7 linked regions of the Xenopus tropicalis genome follow. The protein of the gene in region 3 interacts with the protein of the main gene of each other region in a pairwise test. Links are inferred from orthologs where the notes say so. Each region holds a gene or a part of one and is shown on either strand. Other genes may lie near its edges.

The links.
Region 1: the proteins of ccdc155l (region 3) and rnf146 interact in binary tests that used the Homo sapiens proteins (3 or more experiments, as listed by UniProt). The two-hybrid records come from large-scale screens. The link is inferred for Xenopus tropicalis from reciprocal best matches to the Homo sapiens genes KASH5 and RNF146.
Region 2: the proteins of ccdc155l (region 3) and gpatch4 interact in binary tests that used the Homo sapiens proteins (3 or more experiments, as listed by UniProt). The two-hybrid records come from large-scale screens. The link is inferred for Xenopus tropicalis from reciprocal best matches to the Homo sapiens genes KASH5 and GPATCH4.
Region 4: the proteins of ccdc155l (region 3) and cdc73 interact in binary tests that used the Homo sapiens proteins (3 or more experiments, as listed by UniProt). The two-hybrid records come from large-scale screens. The link is inferred for Xenopus tropicalis from reciprocal best matches to the Homo sapiens genes KASH5 and CDC73.
Region 5: the proteins of ccdc155l (region 3) and TRAF3-interacting JNK-activating modulator interact in binary tests that used the Homo sapiens proteins (3 or more experiments, as listed by UniProt). The two-hybrid records come from large-scale screens. The link is inferred for Xenopus tropicalis from reciprocal best matches to the Homo sapiens genes KASH5 and TRAF3IP3.
Region 6: the proteins of ccdc155l (region 3) and slc41a2 interact in binary tests that used the Homo sapiens proteins (3 or more experiments, as listed by UniProt). The two-hybrid records come from large-scale screens. The link is inferred for Xenopus tropicalis from reciprocal best matches to the Homo sapiens genes KASH5 and SLC41A2.
Region 7: the proteins of ccdc155l (region 3) and cybc1 interact in binary tests that used the Homo sapiens proteins (3 or more experiments, as listed by UniProt). The two-hybrid records come from large-scale screens. The link is inferred for Xenopus tropicalis from reciprocal best matches to the Homo sapiens genes KASH5 and CYBC1.

The regions. Positions count from the first base shown.
Region 1 is NC_030681.2:67,899,962-67,904,203, forward strand, and holds the start of rnf146 (E3 ubiquitin-protein ligase rnf146), read left to right. Parts: upstream 1-1,442; 5' UTR 1,443-1,518; intron 1,519-3,189; 5' UTR 3,190-3,190; coding exon 3,191-4,141; 3' UTR 4,142-4,242. UniProt on the Homo sapiens protein: E3 ubiquitin-protein ligase that specifically binds poly-ADP-ribosylated (PARsylated) proteins and mediates their ubiquitination and subsequent degradation. May regulate many important biological processes, such as cell survival and DNA damage response.
Region 2 is NC_030684.2:133,213,077-133,217,271, forward strand, and holds the start of gpatch4 (G patch domain-containing protein 4), read right to left. Parts: upstream 2,801-4,195; 5' UTR 2,603-2,800; intron 1,535-2,602; exon of another isoform or gene 1,532-1,534; 5' UTR 1,525-1,531; coding exon 1,446-1,524; intron 1,048-1,445; coding exon 974-1,047; intron 283-973; coding exon 190-282; intron 1-189.
Region 3 is NC_030683.2:112,407,440-112,410,939, reverse strand, and holds part of ccdc155l (lymphoid-restricted membrane protein), read right to left. Parts: intron 3,322-3,500; 5' UTR 3,223-3,321; coding exon 3,156-3,222; intron 2,906-3,155; coding exon 2,810-2,905; intron 2,434-2,809; coding exon 2,253-2,433; intron 900-2,252; coding exon 841-899; intron 1-840. UniProt on the Homo sapiens protein: As a component of the LINC (LInker of Nucleoskeleton and Cytoskeleton) complex, involved in the connection between the nuclear lamina and the cytoskeleton.
Region 4 is NC_030680.2:113,572,843-113,576,342, forward strand, and holds part of cdc73 (parafibromin), read right to left. Parts: intron 3,055-3,500; coding exon 2,985-3,054; intron 1,267-2,984; coding exon 1,204-1,266; intron 1,079-1,203; coding exon 1,026-1,078; intron 1-1,025.
Region 5 is NC_030678.2:50,640,977-50,644,476, forward strand, and holds part of TRAF3-interacting JNK-activating modulator, read right to left. Parts: intron 2,982-3,500; coding exon 2,952-2,981; intron 1,913-2,951; coding exon 1,817-1,912; intron 1-1,816. UniProt on the Homo sapiens protein: Adapter protein that plays essential roles in both innate and adaptive immunity. Plays a crucial role in the regulation of thymocyte development.
Region 6 is NC_030679.2:50,199,933-50,203,432, forward strand, and holds part of slc41a2 (solute carrier family 41 member 2), read right to left. Parts: intron 1,606-3,500; coding exon 1,534-1,605; intron 525-1,533; coding exon 380-524; intron 1-379. UniProt on the Homo sapiens protein: Acts as a plasma-membrane magnesium transporter. Can also mediate the transport of other divalent metal cations in an order of Ba(2+) > Ni(2+) > Co(2+) > Fe(2+) > Mn(2+).
Region 7 is NC_030686.2:46,139,715-46,143,899, reverse strand, and holds the start of cybc1 (cytochrome b-245 chaperone 1 homolog), read right to left. Parts: upstream 2,801-4,185; 5' UTR 2,775-2,800; intron 1-2,774. Other genes in the region: narf (nuclear prelamin A recognition factor), read left to right, coding at 3,260-3,286. UniProt on the Homo sapiens protein: Functions as a chaperone necessary for a stable expression of the CYBA and CYBB subunits of the cytochrome b-245 heterodimer. Controls the phagocyte respiratory burst and is essential for innate immunity.

The sequences.
Region 1 (4,242 bases), on a different chromosome or scaffold from region 3:
GTTCAAGGCTTTGGAAATCTTTTTGTAGCCTAAGCCTGCTTTAAATTTCTCAATAACTTTATCCCTGACCTGTCTGGTGTGTTCTTTGGACTTTATGGTGTTGTTGCTCCCAATATTCTTTTAGACAACCTCTGAGGCCGTCACAGAGCAGCTGTATTTGTACTGACATTAGATTACACACAGGTGCACTCTATTTAGTCATTAGCACTCATCAGGCAATGTCTATGGGCAACTGACTGCACTCAGACCAAAGGGGGCTGAATAATTACGCACACCCCACTTTGCACTTATTTATTTGTAAAAAATGTTTGGAATCATGTATGATTTTCGTTCCACTTCTCACGTGTACACCACTTTGTATTGGTCTTTCACGTGGAATTCCAATAAAACTGATTCATGTTTGTGGCTGTAATGTGACAAAATGTGGAAATGTTCAAGGGGGCCGAATACTTTTGCAAGCCACTGTAGAACCTGTGCACTTTGGAGTTAGGACCAGAGTAAAAGATTACTTTAGGATATTTTAAGTCTTCTGAATGTCACTGTTGTCACTAAATTGTAAAAATATAAACTAAAGATTACTGTTGGCAATTCAAAAAATGGCCACAGGATCCTCTTATGTAAAAAAAAAAAAAAAGCCTAAAAACTTGTGAAAAGTCTTGCATTAGTTTACGAAAAAATAAAACCTGGAAAACTGACACCACCGTGAACAAATGAGCCTAAAACGTAAAGATTACTGCTGCTCTATTTCACCCAATGTCTTCTCCTAAATAACCAGTTTTGTCCCTAAATTGTAATTGTTGCCCTTACTTAAAAAAAAACTAAACAAAAAAAAAACAAAACATTGGGACCTTCACCTGGCCCTAGTTTAAAAAAAAAAAAAAAAAAAAGACCCTTTCATTGCTAGTCAAATTGAAGAGGCACTGATGGCAGCATGTTTGATAAGAAATTATTTTTCTTTGTTACCAGGTTCATTAAAGCAGAGCCAAAAAAAACCGTTTTAGGTAAAACAAAGACTTTGCAACACAATATCCACCTAAAAAATAAAACAGAAGCCGTGAAAAGAATAAAATCATTTGTCAACCCAGCAAATAGGGTTTGTTCACTGACACAAGTGTAAGTTCTAATAAGAAAAAACAAATACTTAGTTGTGCCTAAATATAGGCAGCATGCATAGTAGGCTACCACCACGAAATGACTCTTTCTTTCTATAACTGCGAAAACTACTAGCTGTGAAGCAAACGTTTGCAAACACGCTTCCTTGTATTACTAGCGCCTTATAATTGTGAAACAAGGAAGTAAGTTGTCACCCCTCTACGTGCCGCGTCACTGCGCTTATATACGTGTGGTAGTGACGCCACAGTCTCGCGAGATGACAATTTTGACGTCGGGATTAGCTTTCCGGCAGGAGCCAAGGAGCTGGATATTAATGGCGTTGTTGGACGATTAAACGGCAATCTGGTTCTGCGGGCTGTGTTAAAAATATCGAGAGCGTCCCGCGAGAAGCGGGACTGTTGGGCGGTATGTCAGGTTGCGCTTTTACTTCTAAATTATTTATTCGAAGTTCTCATTCCCATTGAATTTAGGCCGAGTGTATTGTGATTTCTCAGAAGCTTGCATTTCTTCACTGTAGGGTGTCTGGCACAAATACCTAAGGCCTCATAAAAAATGCATGTTTTATTGTATGTACAGCGCTTTCCAAAAGGGGTGAGCCTTTAGAGCGATCTTAAGACACTGAGCTTCTTAAATATTTCAATTAAACAAGTGAACGTATCATTTTCCCCATATAGTGCTAAAGAGAGGGGCGAAACCACAGCTGCTTTATACAGCTCAAATGCTCTCTTCTTTTTATTACTTTATAGAGTATATACTGTATTAAACCTTGACTTTTTGCAATACGGAAAATTGAACATGGGCTTCATGTCAAGAAGAAACATTCTATACTGTATTAAATTGTGTTCCAAATAATCATGTCTCATCTGCATCTAGTTAAAGGGATACTGTCATGAATTTTATGTTGTACTTTTTATTACCAAATTACACTGTTTACATAAAATATAATTCAATTCACCATTTAAAATTGTATTCTTGAACCAACAAATGTATCTTTTTTTAGTTGTAATATTGGTGTATAGGCAGCCATCTTAGTGCATTGTGCCTGATTCTGAGCTTTCAGAAAGACCCAGTGCTACACATTAGAACTGCTTTCAGATAACCTACTCCCATGTAACTGGAGGAGTCCCAAGCCGGACGTAGATTTCTTACTATTGAGTGCTATTCTGATATATACTGGCAGCTGCTATCTTGCTGCCTTCCCATTGTTCTGCTGATCGGCTGCTGGGGGGGGGGGTGATATCACTCCAGCTTGCAGCTCAGCAGTAAAGTGTGACTGAAGTTTATCAGAGCACAGGTCACATTGCTGTAGCACCCTGGGAAATGAAGAATATGGATAGAACCATGTGAAATTTCAAAATTAAATATAAAAAAATCTTTTTTTGAAAAAGTGATTTCAATGCAGGATTCTGCTGGAGAAACCCCGTTAACTGATGCGTTTTGAAAAAAACATGTTTTCTCATGACAGTATTCCTTTAACCCCCCTCACCTCTACCAAACACACACACAAATCACATTTTTTTTTTTCATTCAATTAAAATACTTTAATAAAGCTCCCCCAAAAAGGCTAACTTGAAAAGATGCTTTTTGAGTTCCCATTCATCTACTATGATCTACTGCTAGTTTAAGGAATTTAAGTTTCAGGGCACAGCAGTTACTTTGGGGTGTATTGCAGCTGTTTCTGAGAGAGATTCCATAAAATATCCTAAGTATATAAATTTCCAGTGGGTGGCTGGCTGGCTTCTGAAAAGCCCTGCTGAACTTTTTCTCCTGTTCAATAACAATAGAACTCTAACTTTATGTCTTCCAAGGGACTGTCAAAGTGGCGCAAATGGTTTAACATGGAAAAAATGGTATCAATTCCAGGAAAACATAAAATCGAGGTTCTATTTCTCATCTGGATATAGCACCTGAGAAATGGAACTGAAATAAAGATCTGTAAACAATAATAACACCTATGCTGCCAGTTTTTCTTCTGTTCATCCGTTTTTAAACTGGAACAATTCAATTGTTTATCATAGACTGGTTTTCAGTTTCTCTAATCAACCTCATAAAACCTTTTAATTTTTTTACCAACAGGATGGCTGGTTGTGGTGAAGTTAGCCACTCTGCTAACATGCTGCCCACTAATAAGAAACTGGTTGAGCCTTGTCCCAACAGTGCTCCTTCATTGTCTGTTCCTGAATGTGCTATATGCCTGCAGACCTGTGTGCATCCAGTTAGTCTACCTTGTAAACACATATTCTGCTACTTGTGTGTGAAGGGGGCTTCTTGGCTTGGAAGGCGTTGTGCTTTGTGCAGACAAGAGATTCCTGAGGACTTTCTTGATAAGCCTACATTACTGTCACCTGAGGAACTGAAATCTGCAAGTAGGGGAAATGGAGAATATGCATGGTATTATGAGGGAAGAAATGGTTGGTGGCAGTATGATGAGCGGACAAGCAGAGAGCTTGAAGATGCCTTCACAAAAGGCAAAAAGAGCACAGAGATGTTGATAGCTGGCTTCCTCTATGTAGCAGACTTGGAGAACATGGTTCAATACAGGCGTAATGAGCATGGACGGCGTAGAAAAATCAAGAGAGATATTGTAGATATACCAAAAAAAGGAGTTGCTGGGCTAAGGCTTGAATGTGATGCAGCAAATGTAAATCTAGCGCGAGAGAGCTCAGCAGATGGTGCGGACAACATGGCAGCACTTGGAGCTTCTTCAAGTCAACCTACACCTGTGTTACCAACAAGGCTGCACACATCCCTCAGTACAACTGCAAGTCATGCCCTTTCACATTCTGATGTTACTTCTTCATTGGAGAACTCCTTTGCTCAGCTTCAGATTGGCGATCCTGTGATAGGCAGGAATAATATAGGTGAAGGTGAAGAAGGACAGCCTCTAATTAACGCTAGAATGCCAGCCCCCAGTGCTTTGCTGGAAGAATCAGAGCCAAGTGACAGTAATGACCATGGAAGTCCTACATTACAACATAATTCACTTCTTGTGCCACAAAGTAATAGGCTCCCATTTGGTAATCCCTGATTGTACCCCACCTGCATAGGCACAAAGTACCAGTGTAAGGTCTAAAAGACCTGATGGACAGTGCACAGTCACAGAAGTCTAAAGCAGTCAGCCAGAGAAAG
Region 2 (4,195 bases), on a different chromosome or scaffold from region 3:
CATATAAAGAAAGAATTTGAATTAAAAGGGAAGCAGCAACATCATTCAAATGATACAGGTACGTTTTGGGGTGTCACTAATGAAAGGCCTTATTATATTTCCCCCATTCCTATAGTTCCCAATGTGTCAAATTGGTGATTGTGTGACCCGGTCCCCACAGCAGGATACCTGGCTGCATTCTCTTCTCACCTGATCTGCTTCTACTGAGATGCTGGAAGCGGTTTTGTTAAAGACGTGATCCCACCAGTGGAAGGTGAACTGCTCAGCAGAGTTATGTCCCACCTAAGGGTATTAAACACAGTAGGAAAGAAATGTTACAGGATTTGCCCCCTTTATGTGACTCGTAGTACCGTGCCCCATCGAGCTGAATAGTTTGTATGTATTATTTTCCATGCCACCTCCTGATTAAGGGGCGTCAGGTTCACTTTAATGGCTATAGGGAATGCAGTATAAAAACAATACACGGGAGCACTTACCGCTTAAGCCCAGGTGTGCTACTCGCTGACCCCAGATAGGTCCCAGCAGTAGAAATACAAAGAAAAAAGTAGCAGAGCACCACAAGGGTAAAAATAAAAACCAGTCTTTATTCAATTTATATTGCTGGAGTTGCTCTGTACTACAAGTCTTTAGGGGTTATGTAATAAAAAGTATTAAGTTTGCACAGGAGCAGTAACCCATAGTAACCAATCAGTAAGTAAAATTTTCTAGTCACCCATTAAAAGGCAAAGTTCTTATTGGTTGCTATGGGTTATTGCCCCTAGACAAACTTAGTGCCTTTTATTACTTATAGGGGGTTGTCCCTTTGACCAATCATGGGCATGCAGGATACATCTCAACCCCAACATTACATTGTTACTCACTAAATGGCTGATAAATACATGATATAAAGTACAACTCCCATCATCCTCGGCCAAAGTCTACACTCTAGGGACAACCTGAAATGCTCCTGCTTCTGATTGCTGGCCTCGCTTACCCCGGCGTGGTCACATTTCACTTTTACTTTGATTGCTTCGGAAATACCATTTTCCCGTCTCCCAAGGCCTTTACCTAGAAGGGAAATAGGGTGAATGTTAAACACGGTTAATAAAGTATATAAAAATAATATTAATAAAGCTTTCCAATCACTTTCCAATAGCCATTCATACTGTTCTCAGGCTACAGAAGGCATCCCTAAGGAATACATTGCTTGAAGCCAGACCCTCGTGTCTGCAGTAGCACAGAACCCAAGACAGGTTAATGTAATATAAGGAGCAACGTTTGCTACAGTTCTTATTACCCATTGCAGCCAATCAGCAGGTAGCATTTACCGGTTATCTTTTTAAAAGCAAACATCTTATTGGTTGCGATGGGTTACTTCCCCTGGGCAAACTTTTCATTTAGGGGTTTGTGCTCCCCAGCCAAACCCCCTATATGTAATAAAATGCACATTGTGAATTAGCGAGTACCTTCAGTCCAGCCATGCTTGTGCATCTGTTGTTCAGCAAACCTCCTGCCCTGGCTCTTTTCCCCAGAAGAGGCACTCATTCTCTTGCTGCTGGAAAACAAATAGACAGATGTGGGTTAATCACAAATGAGAGGCAAAGCTTTGTCTTAAGCTGGTGCACCCATGTGCCTGTTTAATCATCTCTCAACTATAAGAGGGTGTGTATATAACTATATATGGTCACAGAACCCCTCCGTGACTGCTAATATCCTTATCATTTACAGTAGGGGGTACATTATCCCTTATAATACATGAGTGATACTCAGAGTTCCCTGTATAACTCAGCCTGCAGCCTTGTGCCTTTATATGGGCACAGAACCCCTCAGTGACTGCTAATATCCTTATCATTTACAGTAGGGGGTACATTATCCCTTATAATACATGAGTGATACTCCGAGTTCCCTGTATAACTCAGCCTGCAGCCTTGTGCCTTTATATGGGGGGCACAGAACCCCTCAGTGACTGCTAATATCCTTATCATTTACAGTAGGGGGGTACATTATCCCTTATAATACATGAGTGATACTCAGAGTTCCCTGTATAACTCAGCCTGCAGCCTTGTGCCTTTATATGGGCACAGAACCCCTCAGTGACTGCTAATATCCTTATCATTTACAGTAGGGGGTACATTATCCCTTATAATACATGAGTGATACTCAGAGTTCCCTGTATAACTCAGCCTGCAGCCTTGTGCCTTTATATGGGCACAGAACCCCTCAGTGACTGCTAATATCCTTATCATTTACAGTAGGGGGTACATTATCCCTTATAATACATGAGTGATACTCAGAGTTCCCTGTATAACTCAGCCTGCAGCCTTGTGCCTTTATATGGGGGGCAAAGAACCCCTCAGTGACTGCTAATATCCTTATCATTTACAGTACCCCTCAGTGCACCAACCTTACTGTGCAACTTATTAGTTCCTCTATAAACTCCCTGTATTTGGATACATACAATTTTCTCCCTTATGGGGCACTTATATACTATATACATAAGAGCTTTCTTGCAGTATCACACAGGATAAGAGAATGCTACTGCTCTGAGCGCAAAAAGAACACCATCTATACCTGCCAGCGCTGTGACACTGACCACAGAGAGAAAGTAGCGCATATAAAATACCTGAGCCGACGAGTCACTGCGATTATGATGGTTAATTAGAAGTAAGGATCACTTGGGCAGAAATCAGGAACAAAAATGTTAAAAAAACAAAGATAAAATTCCCTCTCATCATCAGCTGATCATAGAACACATGCCCGGCTTTCAGGGCAGCGCCATCTTGCAGGAAAAAGGGAAGTACGCGGAGGAATAGACGCTCTGCACTGATTGCTAAAGACTCTGTGGTAGTGGGAGGTCCAACATGAGCTTTGCCCAATAGAAATGCTGAGGAGAAGTTCTCTCGGTGCTGATGGACAGAATACAAGGTGAATAGAATCCTCTGACAGATTATGAGGGTGTTAGTTGCTATAGGAAATAGTTGGGGCGCAGCACAGGCAGAATGGGAAATGCTGGCATAACACCTGGTAGAATTTGATGGTTTATTTTTTCTGAAATATTGACTTACAGAATTACTAATTCCACTTTATTATCATCCTTAACCAACAAAAGCAACGTAATGGCTCCCTGTGTACAAGAAACAATATTAGGCCTTTGGGCCAGTAGGGTTTCCTGGCCAATAACAGCTTTGTGGCCAATATCTCCCCAGTACAAATTACTTTCCTGGCCAATGAGAGCTTTGTGGCCAATATCTGCCCAGTACAAATTACTTTCCTGGCCAATGACAGCATTGCAGCCAATATCTGCCCAGTACAAATTACTTTCCTGGCCAATGACAGCATTGCAGCCAATATCTGCCCAGTACAAATTACTTTCCTGGCCAATGACAGCATTGCAGCCAATATCTGCCCAGTACAAATTACTTTCCTGGCCAATGACAGCATTGCAGCCAATATCTGCCCAGTACAAATTAGTTTCCTGGCCAATGACAGCATTGCAGCCAATATCTGCCCAGTACAAATTACTTTCCTGGCCAATGACAGCATTGCAGCCAATATCTCCCCAGTACAAATTAGTTTCCTGGCCAATGACAGCATAGCAGCCACTATCTGCCCAGTACAAATTACTTTCCTGGCCAATGACATCATTGCAGCCAATATCTCCCCAGTACAAATTACTTTCCTGGCCAATGACAGCATTGCAGCCAATATCTCCCCAGTACAAATTAGTTTCCTGGCCAATGACAGCATAGCAGCCACTATCTGCCCAGTACAAATTACTTTCCTGGCCAATGACAGCATTGCAGCCAATATCTGCCCAGTACAAATTAGTTTCCTGGCCAATGACAGCATTGCAGCCAATATCTGCCCAGTACAAATTACTTTCCTGGCCAATTACAGCATTGCAGCCAATATCTCCCCAGTACAAATTACTTTCCTGGCCAATAACAGCATTGCAGCCAATATCTGCCCAGTACAAATTACTTTCCTGGCCAATAACAGCATTGCAGCCAATATCTGCCCAGTACAAATTACTTTCCTGGCCAATAACAGCATTGCAGCCAATATCTGCCCAGTACAAATTACTTTCCTGGCCAATGACAGCTTTGTGGCCAATATCTGCCCAGTACAAATTACTTTCCTGGCCAATGACAGCTTTGTGGCCAATATCTCCCCAGTACAGATTACTTTCCTGGCCAATGACAGCATTGCAGCCAAT
Region 3 (3,500 bases):
ACCTGTGTGTATTATTATTGAGTTAGAGAGGGTCCAGAGAAGGGCAACTAAGCTGGTAAAGGGTATGGAAAGTCTCAGTTATGAAGAAAGACTGGCCAAGTTGGGTCTGTTTACACTGGAGAAGAGGCGCTTAAGAGGTGACATGATAACTATGTATAAATATATAAGAGGATCATATAATAACCTTTCTAATGTTTTATTTACCAGTAGGTCCTTCCAACGAACACGAGGGCACCCACTCCGTTTAGAAGAAGGGAGGTTCCATTTAAATATTCGGAAAGGATTTTTTACAGTGAGAGCTGTGAAGTTGTGGAATTCCCTCCCCAAATCAGTCGTGCTGGCTGATACATTATATAGCTTTAAGAAAGGGGTGGATGGATTCTTAGCAAGTGAGGGAATACAGGGTTATGGGAGATAGCTCTTAGTACAAGTTGATCCAGGGACTGGTCCGATTGCCATTATGGAGTCAGGAAGGAATTTTTTCCCCTCTGCGGCAAATTAGAGAGGCTTCAGATGGGGTTTTGCCTTCCTCTAGATCAACTAGTAGTTAGGCAGGTTATATATAGGCATTATGGTTGAACTTGATGGACGTATGTCTTTTTTCAACCCAACTTACTATGTTACTATGTATAACAGACAGCCTTGGGTTAGAATACAGAGTACTGACCCAGCAGTATAGGGGTAGTGATGGGTATGTTTACAGCCATAAGGCTGATGTATCTCCAGTTTTGTAGTGTACCTGTAGCCTAATTTTCATATGGATTGAAATAGAGGATATATAATGTACAAAGGAAAATCTAAATTAGAAATATATTAATCACAAGTGCTTTTTTTACTTACCACATGGTAAAGATGAGCCTTTCTCGGATTTTATATTTTCCACTGTTTCAGTAATATCACTGCATATATAGAAATTATTAAAATGGACAGTAAAATCTTAGGGTCCTATTTACACTGTATGTAAAAAGAAATATAAGACTGCACATCATGTCACTATACTGTAAAACTGCAATATTTAAAGGAGAAGGAAAGGTGAAAACTAAGTAAGCTTTATCAGAAAGGTCTATGTAAATACAGCCATAAGCACTCAGAGTCCTCTATCAAAAAAAGCACAGGATTTGTCTCCTTTTTTGTAAAGATGTTCTTCAGTATCAGACTTCCTCTCTCAGAAAAAGTCTGTGGAACGCTCTCCTCTGTCCCTTTTCCTGCTTCCCCCTCCCATAAGAATTCACTCCCCCTCCCATCAGAATGTGTGATCTATGCTATCAGAAGCAGAAAGCTACCAAGACCTAAAATGGCAACTGCTATCTTAAACAAATGGAGGGAGCTTCTAGGGCTGTTTACTCAGGTATGGTAAAGCTTTTTGCAAAATAAATATAGCGTTCTATCTTGCACTATTGTGACTAATCTATTAGCAAAATGACTTTCCTTCACCTTTAATAGCTTAAAAAGATGTCAAGCACCTGCACAGGTCTGGACTGTGGTTCAAAATAGGCCATGGCATTTTAAGTACACAGAGGCCCAAACAGTCCCACAAAGGTTTAAAAAACAGTGGTTGTCTATGGTGCCTTACAGAAGCGCCTCTGGCATTTACCGGAATGCAATGATTGTCAGTCCAGCAGGCCTAGCATTGGATCAAAAATAGGCCCTGGCATTTCAAGTACACAGGGGCCAAAACAGCCACCCACCAGCCCAATAGTCTATGGCATCTTACAGCTGCCCCTCTGGATCCAGAATCCACAGATTGCCAGGGCGCCAGGCAGGTACTTCCTGCTTACCCCTAGTCCGAGCTCCCTTGTCATTGCCTCTGCTGCTTCTCATTGCATGGCTCACGCCCCCCTGCAACACCATATATAATGCATGCGCAGATGCAAGGAGGGGGGAAGGGTGCAGGGCCAAGGGGCCGACCAATTTGTCTAGGGCCTGGTTGGCTTAGGCCGCCCCTAATACGCAATGCCATTTGTATGCTGCAAAGTTGTAAAGGTTTCTCGGATTGGACTCTGCAGCAAGTACACGTGCATTCTCTTGAACGTAAATAAAGCTTCACCATCTGGCAGGTTTAGTAAAGGAGGAATAATGGTCTGGGGTTCTTTGCCATGGCTTTCAACTTTCACAATTTGACTGGCCTGTACAGAGCCCTGACCTTAACCCAACTGAACCCTGTGGGATGAATTGGTCTGCCAACCAACAGGGACCAAAGATTATATGGCCAAATTTATACTTACATTCTCTAAACGCATGAGCCGACATACCTGTCACTGCAGCAGCTGGCAATCCACTCACTCATGACTTTACGGAAGGTTGGCAAATCTAGGGACCTTCCCTGCTCTTCAGGATCCAGCATCTTACAAAGGTGCTGGAGTCGGTCTCCATCACAAGGTTGATCTGTTACGCTCTTCAAGTAGTCAATGATCTGAAACACTGTTACTTCTCCTAGAGGCAAATTTAGTCATATTATGGTAGTTTAGCAGTGGAATTTAACAGCAAAACTGCAGATTTTTGTTACCTATGCACAATGTGGGCAGTTCCTTAGTAAACACAATAATATGTTTAGCTGCAGTAAGGCGGACATCAGTCTGAATGACAATGCAAGTTAAAGAGCTTAACGACTCGGTAGTAGCGTTTTATAAAAACTAGTGAATGAGCCGCAATTCCACTGATTTTCTTATGAGTAGTAACTGTCCTTACTGCTGCTTAAAAACATAATTGACATAATAATTCTGCCCCGCTGTTTTCCTTTAGTTGGGAAGTATTACACCCTATTATATTACTCATGAGGCGCTCTTTTACATCAGCAAGAGTTTCTTACCTCTCCCCTCTGTATCACATGCTTCAAATGCGGTATCCAGCAACTGCTCTTCTGATGTAGAATTAGGAACACCATTAAGACAGCCCTGAGTAGCATCTGAGACGTAAAGGCACAGCAAATTATTTCTATACATACACGTACATTTAACGTTTTTAATGGGTTTTAAAGATGTTTGTAAATGTATTTCAAACTGAAAGCAGCATTTGTTTCTCCCTTTCCACTCTGATGCATGAAACAATGTAGTCAGAAGTGTAGAGAATATAAAAAGCCATCCACAAGTGGGGGTACAGCCACTTTAATTTCCATTAAAAGCACATACATATCTAATAATACATTAAAAACATACTTTTGCTGTCTGATAGCTGCCCTTCTTCTGATTCAGGATTCCAGCAGGTTCCTTGCAGTTTATACATTATACAAGCCCTTTGCTGAAAGCTTAGGGTATATTAGTTCTTCCTCTTGAGGCAGGACCTCAAAGAAATCTGCAGATGTATTCCTGGAGAGTGCTAGCTCTGAAAGAGCAAACATTCCTATGAAATTACAAGTTAAAATAAAACTATACCCCCAGAATGTATACTTAACCAACAGAGAGTTTATATTATGTTAAGTGGCCTAATAAACAATCTCGTCAAACTGGAATATATACTGTATATCAGTAAATACTGCCCTTTTACATCCCTTGAGCCGCCAT
Region 4 (3,500 bases), on a different chromosome or scaffold from region 3:
ACAAATAGTAGTGTTGTCTATTTACCTATCCATTCATCCACAGAGCCAAAGCTACTGTGCATAACAAAGGCAAATCCAGTCAGCAGCAAAAGTGTGTCTGCATTATTGCAAGTGTCACCCTTTTTTTTTTTAGAATTTTAATCTTTTTGTTTCAGCTATAAACAGTACTGACAGTCTTGCAATTAGTATATATTTATGATAAGCAACTGATAAGGAATACATTTTCTGTGTGCAGATTTAACCACAGGCCCCCCTGACTTGGATGGATTCTGCTCTCAAGCTAGCCTTGGTTACTACTTTTCTGGCCTTGCAGACAGAGCCACCTGTTTGGCTGTAAGCAGTTCCTTGTTTTCTTAACTGTGAACACATATCTCTATGCGCTTACACTGGTAAACTGGTAGCTCAAATGTATTTTTTATGTTGTATTCTACTATGCCACAAAATTTATAAAATACAGTGCTGTCTTTGGTCTGTTGTTCTGACCCTTAGCTTTGCTCAGAACCCACATACGTGTCAAATAAACCTTACCTTCTTCTACCCCAAATGACCTTCAGTATTTGAATTTTCCATAACACTACCATCAAATACACTGCACTAATTTATTACACAGAAAATCATTGAAAATGTAGAATAAAGAATTGCTTGTTGAAATATGATAACATAAAGGCGTTTTTCAACATTTAATATGTGATTTTATTCCAAAAAAGAAGTTGTATTGCTGTTTATAAACCAAATACATTTACAGTCAATGGAGTATTTACAAGCAAGGGAACTACAGTATAACAAGTTATCATCCTTCAGCTGTCAGCGGGTAGAGGGTAGTTCAACATTTGCAGAGACTCAAGTGGGTTTTTCTAGTCATTCATCTAACCTATACAAAATCAATCCACTGCAATATAGCTCCCAAGGCTACACTTCTCAAAAAAAATTTAACATCCTTTTTATTTGAATCTGTAGCAAACAGGTCAGGGAGCCTGACAAAAACTTCCTAACACCTTTATAATGTGCAGAAAGGGAAAACTCACCTCTATTCTTGGTTTCTTTGCCTCAGCGGATATTTCATCTGCAACTCTCTTTACTACAATAAAAACAATTGTTATGAACTCATTTAATTCCCTTGTTGCTAGACATGATGAAGAGCGCTAGGGGGCCATCCTTGCATCCAAGAGAATAAAGATGACATAAATGTTCCTATGCACATACCTTGTGAGGATCTCTGAAGACCAATTTCAAGTGGCGCACTTCTGTCTATACTGGCAGATGATGCTAAAGAAAGCAGAAACGGTTGAGATAAAGTAACTATACTTGAACTAAGATATTAACAAGCAGTCAGTTTGATTATTTCAATACACCGGCAGAAAAAAGGTCAACTCATCACAGTATTTGCTTATTCAAGTTATTACTCAGAATACACAGCATTAAAGGAGAAGAAAAAGAATAAATCACTAGGGGTGCCAAATTTAAGGCACTGGTACCCTAAAGCTGATGCTCCTGTTAGAAAACTGCAGCGGCCTGGGGTACATGCAAGCAAGCGATCCTCTTCTTTCCTCAAAATTCCAGGAAAAAAGAGGATAGCTCTATTTTTTAACTTTAAATTTAAAAATTTAAATAAACTAATTTCCACAAATTTATGACATTTACTTGTGTGGGAAAAAGTTGCAGAAAAATCAGGAAAACGCAACTTTTTTCAAATTGCCACACCGAAACTACTACTTTTTTGAATTGTCACACAAAAAACAGCATCAAAAATCTGAAACCTCTAAAGTTATGAAGCAACAGAAGGAACCTCCAGGGAAGGGGAAGGGACATCTGCCACTGACTTGACTACATGATCTTAGCAAGTTTTAACTGGAAAATTGTCGGATTCAGATTTTTAGCCAGTTTGTTGCACAGTAGATCTCAAAAAAGTTGTAACTTTTAGGGTTAGTAAATGCCCCCTTAATCTGGGTATCCTAAAAGACTGATCACAAAAGTTCACACATTGGCAGTGCACTCCAGGTCAGCATAAAAAAGCCGCAACAGATGATATTAAAGTTGATCAACCTTTATTTGCACATCTAAAAAACACAGCTTGAGGTCTTACGCGTTTCGTGACAGCGCACTTCCTCAGAGACCTCCCTAAAAGACTGATGTCAAGAAAACAAACTCTCCACGCAACAGTACAGCCAAACTAAATGTGCAGTGTTTACTTCACCCATATGCACCTCAAAAAGATAGTGATCCTACAGTTACATAACACATGGTTAGACTGGCATGATGTCTCACAGAAGGGTTCCATATAGACTTTGGGATGCACAGCTGCGAACGGAGTTACAGTGACCTGTGAACTGCTGCAGCACAAGTCCTACTGGAAATCTCCTTTACAAACCACAAGTGGTGGAGGATTAAGCCTGTAGGACCAAGCTGTGGTCCTGGCAATCTCTCTCTATAAAAGCTAAAGGCATGGGGGTGGACTGACTCAAACCAGCCCCCAGGTCAAGAATGGCAACAGTGCACGGGAGTGCCGGCCTTTGAAATATATGACCAGAGGTAAATAGATAGGACCACCATACGGGGTTTACCTTGACGTGGTATGGTGGCTTACCAATCTTATGATCATAATTTTGTAACTAAAAACACGTTTTTTGTAAATACATGCACTAGCATAGATAATTTACTTATGAAAGAGGGGACGAGGGAATGTGCATTGATCAATCCCCCTCTTTTTTGTATGATTGTAGTTAATTTGGCCAGATCAGTCGCACTTCCATTGTATTTGTATACTTTATTTAGCCTTGGAGTGCTCCCACAACCCCCTTCTGTGTATCTACTGGAAATCTACACGTATATTCAAATACAAATATGGTCTATAGAAATGGTCAAGAAACTTGACTTGCATTTGCTATTTTTGTTATGTTAAATAACTTTCATATTGTTAATTTTGTGTTATCACTGGTCCGTTATATTAAAAAAATGATCATTTTATTAATGCAAATGGCACTTACACGTTTCCCCATTTAGGTATGCAAGAAGATCTTTTCTATCAGGTCTTCTAACCACAGGAATGTTTTCAGTCTGCAAAAGGTGAACAGAAAATAGTTAAATTAGATGATGTACACACTTCTCAAAAATATTTTCAGTAAAAAAATTTTTTGGAAAACGAACATTTTGCGACTTTTTCGTAGCCGTTACGACTTGCGCGAATTGTCAAGACTTTTTCATAGCCATTAAAAATTTTGTGAATTGTCGCGACTTTTTCATAGCCATTATGACTTTCGTGAGCTGTCGCGACTTTTTCATAGCCATTACAAATCTCGTGAATTGTCGCGACTTTTTCATAGACATTGTGACTTTCGTGAGCTGTCGCGACTTTTTCATAGCCATTACAAATTTCGTGAATTGTCGCGACTTTTTCATAGCCATTATGACTTTCGTGAATTGTATTCGCTTTTCAGACGTTCGTGGATTAGTAAATGTGCCCCATAGTATAACAGTAAAAAACTTATTTAACTTTTGTTTAT
Region 5 (3,500 bases), on a different chromosome or scaffold from region 3:
CATTCTCTCTTCACTCTGCAACAAAGATCTTCTCTATTTTTAAGATACATAGACTACAACTCATTGCCCATATATATTATAGTTCTGGATTTTCTAGCGTTTTACTGCAAAATAACCCACTAAAAGAAACCTGTGTTGGGAACACCTGCTCTGTAGTTGTAGTTCTCTTGAAACGAAGATACATTTCCTGTCTGTAAGCAATAAGAAATGCTTTTTTTCCTGCATGCATATAGAGGAAGCATCAGCAAACCACATCAAAGCTTATGAAGAGTTGCTAAAACTAGTTATCTTACCGTCAGAATTTCCCTTCTTACTAATTATTTTGAATTCATTATTTTTAAAGTTTCTAACCAGTTCCTTCTATGTCATAGTCTATAAGCCAAATTGTGTGTGCAATTTGGCTTATAGAGGTGTATGAATATGGTGGAAAATTCAACAAATCTATCTCTACTGTTATTTTGTCTTAAATTGTACCCCTTTTGTGTATTCCTTCTAATTTTACTCCAAAAATACTATCTCCACTTTTGTGAAATGCACCCCAGTAACAATGAGAAGCGAGCAAGAACCACTTGCACTATGAATACTTTTATCTTTATTGATATAGCACATGCATGTTCCACAGCACTTACAGATATACATCATTCACATCAGTACTTCCCAGAGTGAAGCATACAATCTAAGGTCTCTATCACATTCACACATGCTATGATGAATTCTATTAGGACTCAGCTATTAGGACTCACACTACTATTTCAACATTTTCAACTTATTTCAACATTCAGGAAGCAAAGCACCATGGCATTCTACACCATGGTATTCTACTGTTGGATCCATTTTTCTTTCAGTGATTTGAAACTGGACCTTTGTATGCATTTTTATGTGTTTTTGTTATGCAGCACTATTTTGTAATTTAAAGTAATATATAGGAATGCGCTTTAAATAAAATTGAAAATAATAAATTAACAGTGCCATTAAAATCTTAATCTAAATCATCCATTCCAAAAAGTTTATATTCATCTTTTTAAATTCATATGAAGCTGAACTTAAATCTTTGAAACAATAAATATACTTCAGGGGCACTGTGGGTGCACAACCATTTCTAATGAAAAAAGCAGAAACAGCCCAGTCTAGAAATGGAGATCCAATGATGGCATGCTGTACCATGGGACACCCATGTGCCACCCTGCTGTAGGCAGTGCTACTTAAAGCAGGCGATGCTGCACATAACAGAGGTATAGGATAAATTATCTGAAAACCCTTTATCCAGAAAGATCTGAATAACAGAAAGGCCATATCCCACAGCGTCCATTATAATCAAATAAAGGTTTTCAAAATGATTTCCTTTTTCTCTGTAATAATAAAACAGAACCTTGTACATGATCCCAATTAAGATATAAGAAGTCCTTATTGGGTTTATTTAATGTCAAAATATTTTTTTAATAGACTTATAGTACAGAGATCCAAATTAAGCATGAAAATCCAAATTATGGAAAGATCTTTCTCCATCCGGTACACCCTAGGTCCCAAGCATTCTGGACAATAGTTTCCATACCTGTACTTGTGGCATTACACAGCGTATTACAGAGATTATACAGCATTCAAGTCAGAGTGTCACACAGCAGGAAACATCTAAACTGGTGGTTCCCAAGGAAAAGTTTATCTCTGGCCACAAATATTTATTCTTCATTTTGACCAATATGACCATATTTTTTAGGGCACCAAAGCAGTAAATAAACAAGCAACCATAGTTCTTTTTAACCAACAAATCAGAATAACCCTGTTTCAGAATTCCCATGGTTTATCAAACAGAATCTACCTTGAATGACTTTTCAGATGTCTGTAAGAGTGTTCGAAACAACTCCTGCAAGGAGCACAATTTCTTTTTCAGTTTCCTCTCTCTATGGAGAGCTTCCTGCAGAAGTCAGAAAAATAAGTGACATTAATATCAGATATAATGTACCCCCTTAATGTAAAATAATGTATTTTCTGTGGACGTATAAATGCATGAGGCCTAAGCTGAGTGCTCCTGTAGAGGTTATGAGGCTCTAAGTTAACTTCTAAATTCCTCATTTACATGGTCAGTAACCTGTATTAAAGAAGCCTGTTGCCTTGTGTCTTTATATGGTTATTTAGTGAAATTTCTCTAAGTCACACAAAAATTATAAATGCTGCTGATGATAAATAACACTGTCATTTTTTATGCAAAGGTGATACTTAGTCCTTGCGGTTGGCTGTAAGGGCTCACATATACCTCATACACTTGAACAGTGCCCCAGCAACTCTCACAAATAATTTTTGTTTCCGTTTGCCTGAGGGATGCTCCCTATCCACCCCAGAGAGAGGGTGGTGTCAATGTGCCTTCCTACCACTCCCTGTCATCTCCCTAATGCTTTACACATAGAAAGGCAGATCTTGCAGGTGGGCAGAATTTTGAATGGGTTGATGATAGAGACATCCGGAGGACTACTGTGGCCATACTAGGATGAGTGGTACTGTACTAAGCACTGCTGTCAGGGGGGCTTTATACTTTTCTACATAGGGCCCTCTTCTGATTGTGTCTGCCCTTTAATATGTGAATTTAAAAAAAAAACAGGGATGCACCAAATCCAGGATTCATTTAGGGATTCGGCCAAGATTCATCTTTTTTAGCAGGATTTGGATTCAGATTCTTGCTGGGCTGATTCTGAATCCTTAAATTCTCTAGACTTTTTGTCACAAACACGGAAGCGAAAAAGTTTTCACCGCACACTTTGCGGGCAGTTCTATCTGACCCCTCCATGGCCTAATTTGGATATGCAAATTAGGATTCAAATTCGGTTCAGCATTTGCCCAAATCTTTCACAAAGGATCTGTGGTTTAACCAGATCCCAAAATAATGGATTTGGTGCATCCCTAGAAAAAAAAGAGATTAGAAATTGCACAATATAATTGCTAAACTTTATCATGCTTACCACAAGGTATTCAGAAAGTTCCAACAACTCCTGAAAAATAAAACATTTCACAAATTATACATGTAAATGCAAAGTCTACTATGAACATATAAACTAGAACAACAGATATTTGTATGCACGCAACCAAAAGGAAAACAGAGAGAACATTTCCCCCCAGGCTCCTATATTTATGAGTTTTTCCAGTGTTTTTAGAAGCATTACCCCCTGAGTTTAGTATATATTCTCACTGAATTTTTGGAAGGACTGCAGTGTATTCAGGCAACCACGAAACATTAAAAAAATTATTCATCCACAACATTACTACATTACATTACTATTGTTGTGTCTGTAATTCATGTGCCAGAGACACGCAGCTCTCTGCTCTCTCCTGCTCCCCCCCCCTCAAGAATACTAAGAACTCACTCCCCCCCCCTTAGGAATGTGGATCTGAGCCTATCAGCAGGAAGCTGACTCATGGGGGAGATTTACTAATCCACGAACGGTCCGAATGTGTTTTTCGCAATGATCGCTATTTTTGCGACTTTTTCGTATGTTCCGCAACTTTTTCGT
Region 6 (3,500 bases), on a different chromosome or scaffold from region 3:
ATATGCGTTATTAATTTTGGCAATATTTTTTGTGAAGCATTTCAAATGTGACTGAATTCCAAAATCATGGATCTGATTTATCTCTGCTTCTGAACTAAAAATTAGGTGACCTGTTTACAATCCCCTGTTCCATATAACTTATTTTAATTTCTTAAATGCAATTGTAAATAAATGACCTAGAATATGTTAACATATACAAATTCTGTCTATTTATTATTTATATAGTAAATATTTATCAAGCTTTCTACATAAATGCCAAATCACAGATGAGAAACAGAAATTATTCTTACCAGCTTGGAAAAGAACATACTAGAAACCTAACTGCAATTCAGAGACTCTGACAGAAAATATGAATGTGGTATTGAATAAATGATCATACCTTGCAGAAGAGATGCAATAAAAGCTGTAGCTACACTACTGGAGCACAGAAGGACTGCATGATCTAACTGGTATTTGCCCTCTGGGATCCAGCCCAATATAACAGCAGCCACAGCTGCTAAAAAGCCAACTACTGTTGCTTGTACCTAGAAGACACAACAGTATTATTAAAGTTTTCACTTGATAAAGTAATAATAAATGTATTTCTGTTTAACTTGATTTCAGGAAAATCAACATAATTTATCAAATTTGTAATACAAGCATGACTGTTCTACATACATAATATCAATTTTCAGTCTCAATCCTTTAAGGCAGGGGTCCCCAACCTTTCTTACTCGTGAGCCACAGTCAAATGTAAAAAGACTTGGAGAGCAACACAAGCACCATAAAAGTTCATGGAGGAGCCAAATAAGGGCTGTGATTGGCTATTAGGCAGCCTCTATGCACCCTATCAGCTTACAGGAGCTTTATTTGGTAGTATATATCTTGTTTTAATTCAACCAAAACTTGCCTCCAAGTCAGGAATTCAAAAATAACTACCTGGTTTGGGGGCACTGAGAGCAACATTCAAGGGGTTGGTGAGCAACATGTTGCTCAGGAGCCACTGGTTGGGGATCACTGCTTTAAGGAATATCATGATCAATATAAAACTTAAAACTACACAGCTTTTTTTTTTTTTTTACTGTATTTTACCTAGCTCTATTCTGAATTGTATATGGCAATATGTAATTTATATTATTTATTTAATACTTGATTGTCCTGATGAACAACAATAAATTCTCGTCTATAGATGCTGCTAGCACAGCATGTTCCAGCTATCAAGCATGAAAAATTGAAGAATACTTGCTATAGCAACGTCATGCCAGTTACGAGCAACAATTTATAGCTCTCACACGTATTGTTTAAACTCATATTAATAAATGAATTAAGCAAATCACACCTTGCTGAATAACGTTTAGAATAGTGCTGGTTACCTTATTTGCTCAAAAATCAAAGCCTTAACATTGTTTTCAACATCCACAAACTTACAGTAAAAAAAAAAAACCAAAAACTTTATTTATATACGGCTGATTTTTTTTTAATTTTGCTCCCATACTGAGCAATGGGGACCCCATGTGACCTACAATGCTTAAAATGTAAATTTCTAATAATTACCTGCTTTAAAGCTAAGTTACCAATAATTAGGTTCCACTTCTCAATAGGTGAGTCCATCTTTCCAACATTAACCTATGCAACAAGAAATAGCAAACATTTAAATATTTAAATTTAACAGTACTCTCAAGAACAGGTATAACTGGGTAGAACAGCCCTGCTTAGAAACTAAAAAGATAACTTTTAAAAATACATTGTAACCATTGGTGAAGTTTACTTTAATTTTTATGTTTTCATAAATATTTAGCATATCATATATTTTGATGTTAATCAGGCCAGAACATTATTTATCTGATGCTTTGTTGATATATCTTTTAAAAATGTTAGCGCAACATTTCCCTTCAGATATTATGCAAAACTAGAATCCTTGCTTGGCTTTTACAAACAAACTTTTAACCAATTATCTGATCAGTATAATAGTCATTTAATAAGGGTCTGTTGCCCAAACACAGGTACACTATTTCATATGTATTGTTAACAGAATTTGGGAATAGGATGTTTAGCTTAGGAATAGAATTGCAAACTGAACGTTATTCCTGTACCAGTAACAAACATACACAAGTTGCAAAATGATCATAGAAAAATAGCAAATATATATTTATATATAAGCAGCGTAAGAAACAAAGAAACATTCATGTGCTTATTATGTGTGAAAAAAGTAAATAAACAGCGGTGGTCACATTCCAGTGGATGAATGGGTCAAGATTAGTGCAATATGTAATTAACCAGGAACTAATTGTAATGTATAGCCGAATCAGGGATATAAATTTAACTTGCTTTTATAAAAATAGAAGATATTGTGGTTTGATGGCAGCTAAGACATGGAAACTACAGTTCACTACATATAAATAAATACAAATATTTCTATGCAAACTTAGCTTAGAAAATTGTATAGCAACAACTAGGCTGAAATTCTGGGAAATATGCTAAATGAAAACTAAAATTAGAAAGCAATGGTGTTATGGTACTAAAACGGACAGGGAATGTTAAGACATACAGTATTAACAAAGGCAATGGGGGTCAGTCACTAAAGGGGCCCACATATTCTAATTTCTTGGAGTAAGCAAAAGGTTTTTTTGCCGTGCACACTTTAGAAAATGGAATTAAGATATTTTTTAGAACAGTGCTGTGAATCCCACATTTTTTCCTTAGAGTTTTGCATAAGTGTGTTATTTTGCACCCACACATGTAGGTATCCAAGGAAGGCACACTGTGAGCAGATAATGTCCCACACCCTTAAAGAATATTTGCATTCCTTTTGACGTGCTGTTTTTCCCTCATTTAATACATCCAAAAATATGAAAAAAAAAATAATCTTAGTTCATCTTGCTTGAAAGGGGCATGCCCAGACAGCAGCCTGAAACCAGCCAAGAAACAAAGCACAATACACAATGTTTAAAGGGGAACTCCGACTTCGGGGATCATGTCCCTAAATGAAAGACTATCTGAATTTATAGACATTTTGTTGCAGCCTTTAGTGTTACGTTTGACTTCATATGTTCGTGACACAAAACATATTTTGCAGACTTTAGGTGATTTTGAGTGGCAGGATGGTTTTTCTTGGGGCACGATAGATGTCACTTCTCTTTACTCCTGCATCCCCCATGACAAAGGTTTGCAGGCTCTCTCTTACCACTTGGATAATTATAGTTCATATGATAGCGTTCTTAAGGACTTCATTTTGGATGCTGTTTTATATTTATTGACGCACAATTTTTTTAAATCTGAGGGTGTCTTTTACCTCCAGAGATGCGGGACCTCAATGGGTGCTAAATTTGCGCCCACCTATGCCAACCTGTACATGGGTTGGTGGGAGGAATCCCGCATCTTTGGTGGTGAGGCACCTTTATTACAGCACGTGGTGTTATATAGGAGGTTTGTGGATGACCTCCTTTTTGTATGGAGGGGTACTGATTTAGCTTTTTCACAATTTGTGGAATTTTTGAATATGAATGATTTAAATTTAAAAT
Region 7 (4,185 bases), on a different chromosome or scaffold from region 3:
AGTGGGTCAGACCAGTAGCTGCCAAACTCTATGCTCTACTCAAAGATCCAAACTTTGACCAGCTCCCCCCACTTTAAGGTCCAACCACTGTTCAGCACCCTCTTAAAGGTCCAACCTTTGACCTGCCCCCACTGAAGGCCAAACCAATGACCTGCCCCCACTGAAGGCCAAACCAATGACCTGCCCCCACTGAAGGCCAAACCAATGACCTGCCCCCACTGGAGGTCCAACCTATGGCCAGCCCCCTATGAAGGTCCAACCTATGGCCAGCCCCCTATGAAGGTCCAACCCATGGCCAGGCCCCACTTGAAAGTCAAACCATTGAGCAACCCCCCTTGAAGGGCCAAGCCTATGACCAGCCCCCCCCCCCATAAGGGTCCAAGCTTTAAACAGGCCCCCCATGAAGGTCCAACCTTTGACCAGGGCCCCCCATTTAAGTCCAACCTTTGACCAGGGTGGTCAGGGCCCCTTAGCTCATAAAATTAGTAGAAATTTGGGGCTTTGGGAAGTGGGCTCTGGGCAGCTGTGGGCTGTCCAGTATTAATGATCTAAATATTTACTAGTTCACCTTATACTGTGACATATATATTGAGTATATACAGTGTATTGTGAGTGGGCCCCTAAGCTCATGTAAGTGACAGCAGCCCAGAGCCCCAGGTCTCCCATGCCTTGGGTCCAACACATAATGTGCAACAGTTCTTGCCCACTTTTTGAGTTAAGCTTTAGTTCTCCTTTAATAGCATCTGCCTATCATTGCTTTTATTCCTTCCCCGCTGAGGGGCACCTGGGGGCTCCTTCCCCTACTTCCTGCCTGCAAGTGTGCAGATACCCCGATGCCCCCGCCTTCCTTTATTTCCATGGCGCTGAGTGTTATTGGGCAACAGAAACCTTGCGCTCAGTCAGGGAAAGAGAAGAAGTAAAGGGGAAGTTAGAATGTTGCAGCTCAGACAGGAAGTGTTTGTACATAGAGGTTAGGAAAGCGCAGCAGGGCCCCATCACAGTGCGAATTATTCCTCTCACGGGGCCACACTAACGTTACAGTGCTGCCAGCTCCCCTACACACAATCTGTCCTACTGTATGGGCAGTACCCAGACATTCCTCTACCCCCTTCTGCAGGAACCCCTCTGTACCCCATAACTTTCCTATACCCCCTTCTCTAGGAACCCCTCTGTACCCCATAACTTTCCTGTACCTCCTTCTCTAGGAACCCCTCTGTACCCCCTTCTGCAGGAACCCCTCTGTACCCCATAACTTTCCTATACCCCCTTCTCTAGGAACCCCTCTGTACCCCATAACTTTCCTGTACCTCCTTCTCTAGGAACCCCTCTGTACCCCCTTCTGCAGGAACCCCTCTGTACCCCATAACTTTCCTGTACCTCCTTCTGCAGGAACCCCTCTGTACCCCATAACTTTCCTATACTCCCCTCTGCAGGAACCCCTCTGTACCCCATAACTTTCCTATACCCCCTTCTCTAGGAACCCCTCTGTACCCCATAACTTTCCTGTACCTCCTTCTGCAGGAACCCCTCTGTACCCCATAACTTTCCTATACTCCCCTCTGCAGGAACCCCTCTGTACCCCATAACTTTCCTATACCCCCTTCTCTAGGAACCCCTCTGTACCCCATAACTTTCCTGTACCTCCTTCTGCAGGAACCCCTCTGTACCCCATAACTTTCCTGTACCTCCTTCTCTAGGAACCCCTCTGTACCCCATAACTTTCCTATACTCCCTTCTGCAGGAACCCCTCTGTACCCCATAACTTTCCTGTACCTCCTTCTCTAGGAACCCCTCTGTACCCCATAACTTTCCTATACTCCCTTCTGCAGGAACCCATCTGTACCCCATAACTTTCCTGTACTCCCCTTCTCTAGAAATGGATCAGTACCACTGGACTATCATGTACTCCCCATTAGCAGGATGTAGCAAGAAGTTCCCTATCCTTCATCAGGAACTGATCTGTACCCCCAGAGCTCCCTGTATCCCCAGAGCTCCCTGTACCCCCAGAGCTCCCTGTACCCCCAGAGCTCCCTGTACCCCCAGAGTTCCCTGTACCCCCAGAGCTCCCTGTACCCCCAGAGTTCCCTGTACCCCCAGAGTTCCCTGTACCCCAGAGCTCCCTGTACCCCAGAGCTCCCTGTACCCAGCTCCTGTACCCCAGAGCTCCCTTACCCCAGAGCTCCCTGTACCCACAGAGCTCCCTGTACCCACAGAGTTCCCTGTACCCACAGAGTTCCCTGTACCCCCAGAGCTCCCTGTACCCCCAGAGCTCCCTGTACCCCAGAGCTCCCTGTACCCCCAGAGCTCCCTGTACCCCCAGAGCTCCCTGTACCCCCAGAGTTCCCTGTACCCCCAGAGTTCCCTGTACCCCCAGAGTTCCCTGTACCCCCAGAGTTCCCTGTACCCACAAAGTTCCCTGTACCCCAGAGTTCCCTGTACCCCAGTGCTCCCTGTACCCCCAGAGTTCCCTGTACCCCCAGAGCTCCCTGTACCCCTCTGCTGAGGAAGCTGATCTGTCTCCAAGGAAGTGGGGGGCATTGATGGGACCCCCTTTTACAGGAATTCAGAGTTAGCCCACAAGTGCTGGAGCAATACCCTGGGGTTTCCCATAAAGCCCTGCTCTCTGCTTGTGTCCGGACTTGTAGAATCAGAAAGACCCTCCTTAAGACCATGAAGTACCCACCACCCAGCCCAGAGCCCTGGAACACAAGACAACAGAGTGGCTCTAAACAGCCCTATACAGAGAGCAGGCCAGCTGGCCAGACATGACTTACCTATCTGTGTGCTCCCAGCTCTACTCTCTGACCCGCTTGCTTGGAAGGAACTGCGCTTCCTGCCCAGTCAGTCTGGGCCGCGGTGCATGCTGGGACGCTGGACACATCGCATAGACGCTGTGCTTCCTTATCTCAGCACCAGAGGGCGCCCCTTGGTAACGATATCCTGCAACAGCGACACAGGCAGTCTGTAAGGATCATGTGATCACGTGGTCCTGTTGTGTAACGTGGGAAAGGCGGAAGTCGAACTGCCATAGGTCCCGGTAGGTAAGCCCGCCCACTCCTAGCTGTGATTGGCCAGGTGACGAGTCCGTCGCCAAAGGTGGGCAGGTACCTTAACAAAGGCCAGGGTGACAGAAGGAGAGAGTGTGGCCTGGGTGCTTCCTGGGATCTGGGGCCACTTGTTCCTCAGGTACCCCCCCCCTCTCTGGCCCCTCCCAGTCTGGGGCAAAAGCCAGAGGCACAGGGGGAGCCCCACAGCGAACATGAAGTGTGAAAACTGCACCAAAACGGTATGTCTGGGTTATGGGGGGGGGATGTTTTTACTGGTATTATTGTATTGTCTGTGAGTTTGCATCAGGCTTTTATAGCAAGGGCCCCTCCAGATGTTGTTGAACTGCTACTCCCACCCCCCCCCCTACAGTACAATGCTGGGAGCTGTAGTTCAGCCACATCTGGAGCTTTCCCCTCAAATGCAACTGTACTATCTGCTGTTAGGGCTTTTGCTGTTTTATATTCCCTGTGTCTGTGTCCAGGCAGCCCTCCAGCTGTGGTTAGAGGGGATTATGGGAGATGTAGTTCCATAGCAGCTGTGGCCTGGATATAATGCCAGTAAACAAGGCAGACAGTTAAAGGCAAAGCTGAGCCTTGTGATAGGAGGTTAATGAATAATAAGCCAGGAGACAGAAGGGAAAACTGCTTGTCTGGGGGTTTGGGGAGGTAGTCGGGGCATGGAAGCGCCTCCCGTTGGAGGTGGGAAGACTGTGACCCAAACATGGACACCCATGACCATCACAAGGGGCTCCTTTCACTTCCTCATAGGGGATCATTAACTCTTTATTGGACACGTAGGAGCTGCAGTACATTGGGGTGCCCCAGTCAGACCTGAGGCAGCCCCGGCACGCAATGGGTTAACGTGAGACAAAGGGGGACATGGCCTGTCACTCACAGACCCACCGGAACCTGTGCCAATTAGGAACTCACACAAGGACTGTTAATACTGCAGGCTGAGGATCTCTTACCTGGAGACCTGATATCCAGAAAGCTCCGTTCTGTATCTTCTCACAGTTTCCCTTTTCTCTGTAATAATAACACAGATCCAAACTAAGCTGGTGAATCCGTATCGGGGGGCAAAACAATCCCATTGGGTTTATGTGGCTGCTGGGGGGACACTAAGCCTAAGAAGCTTATG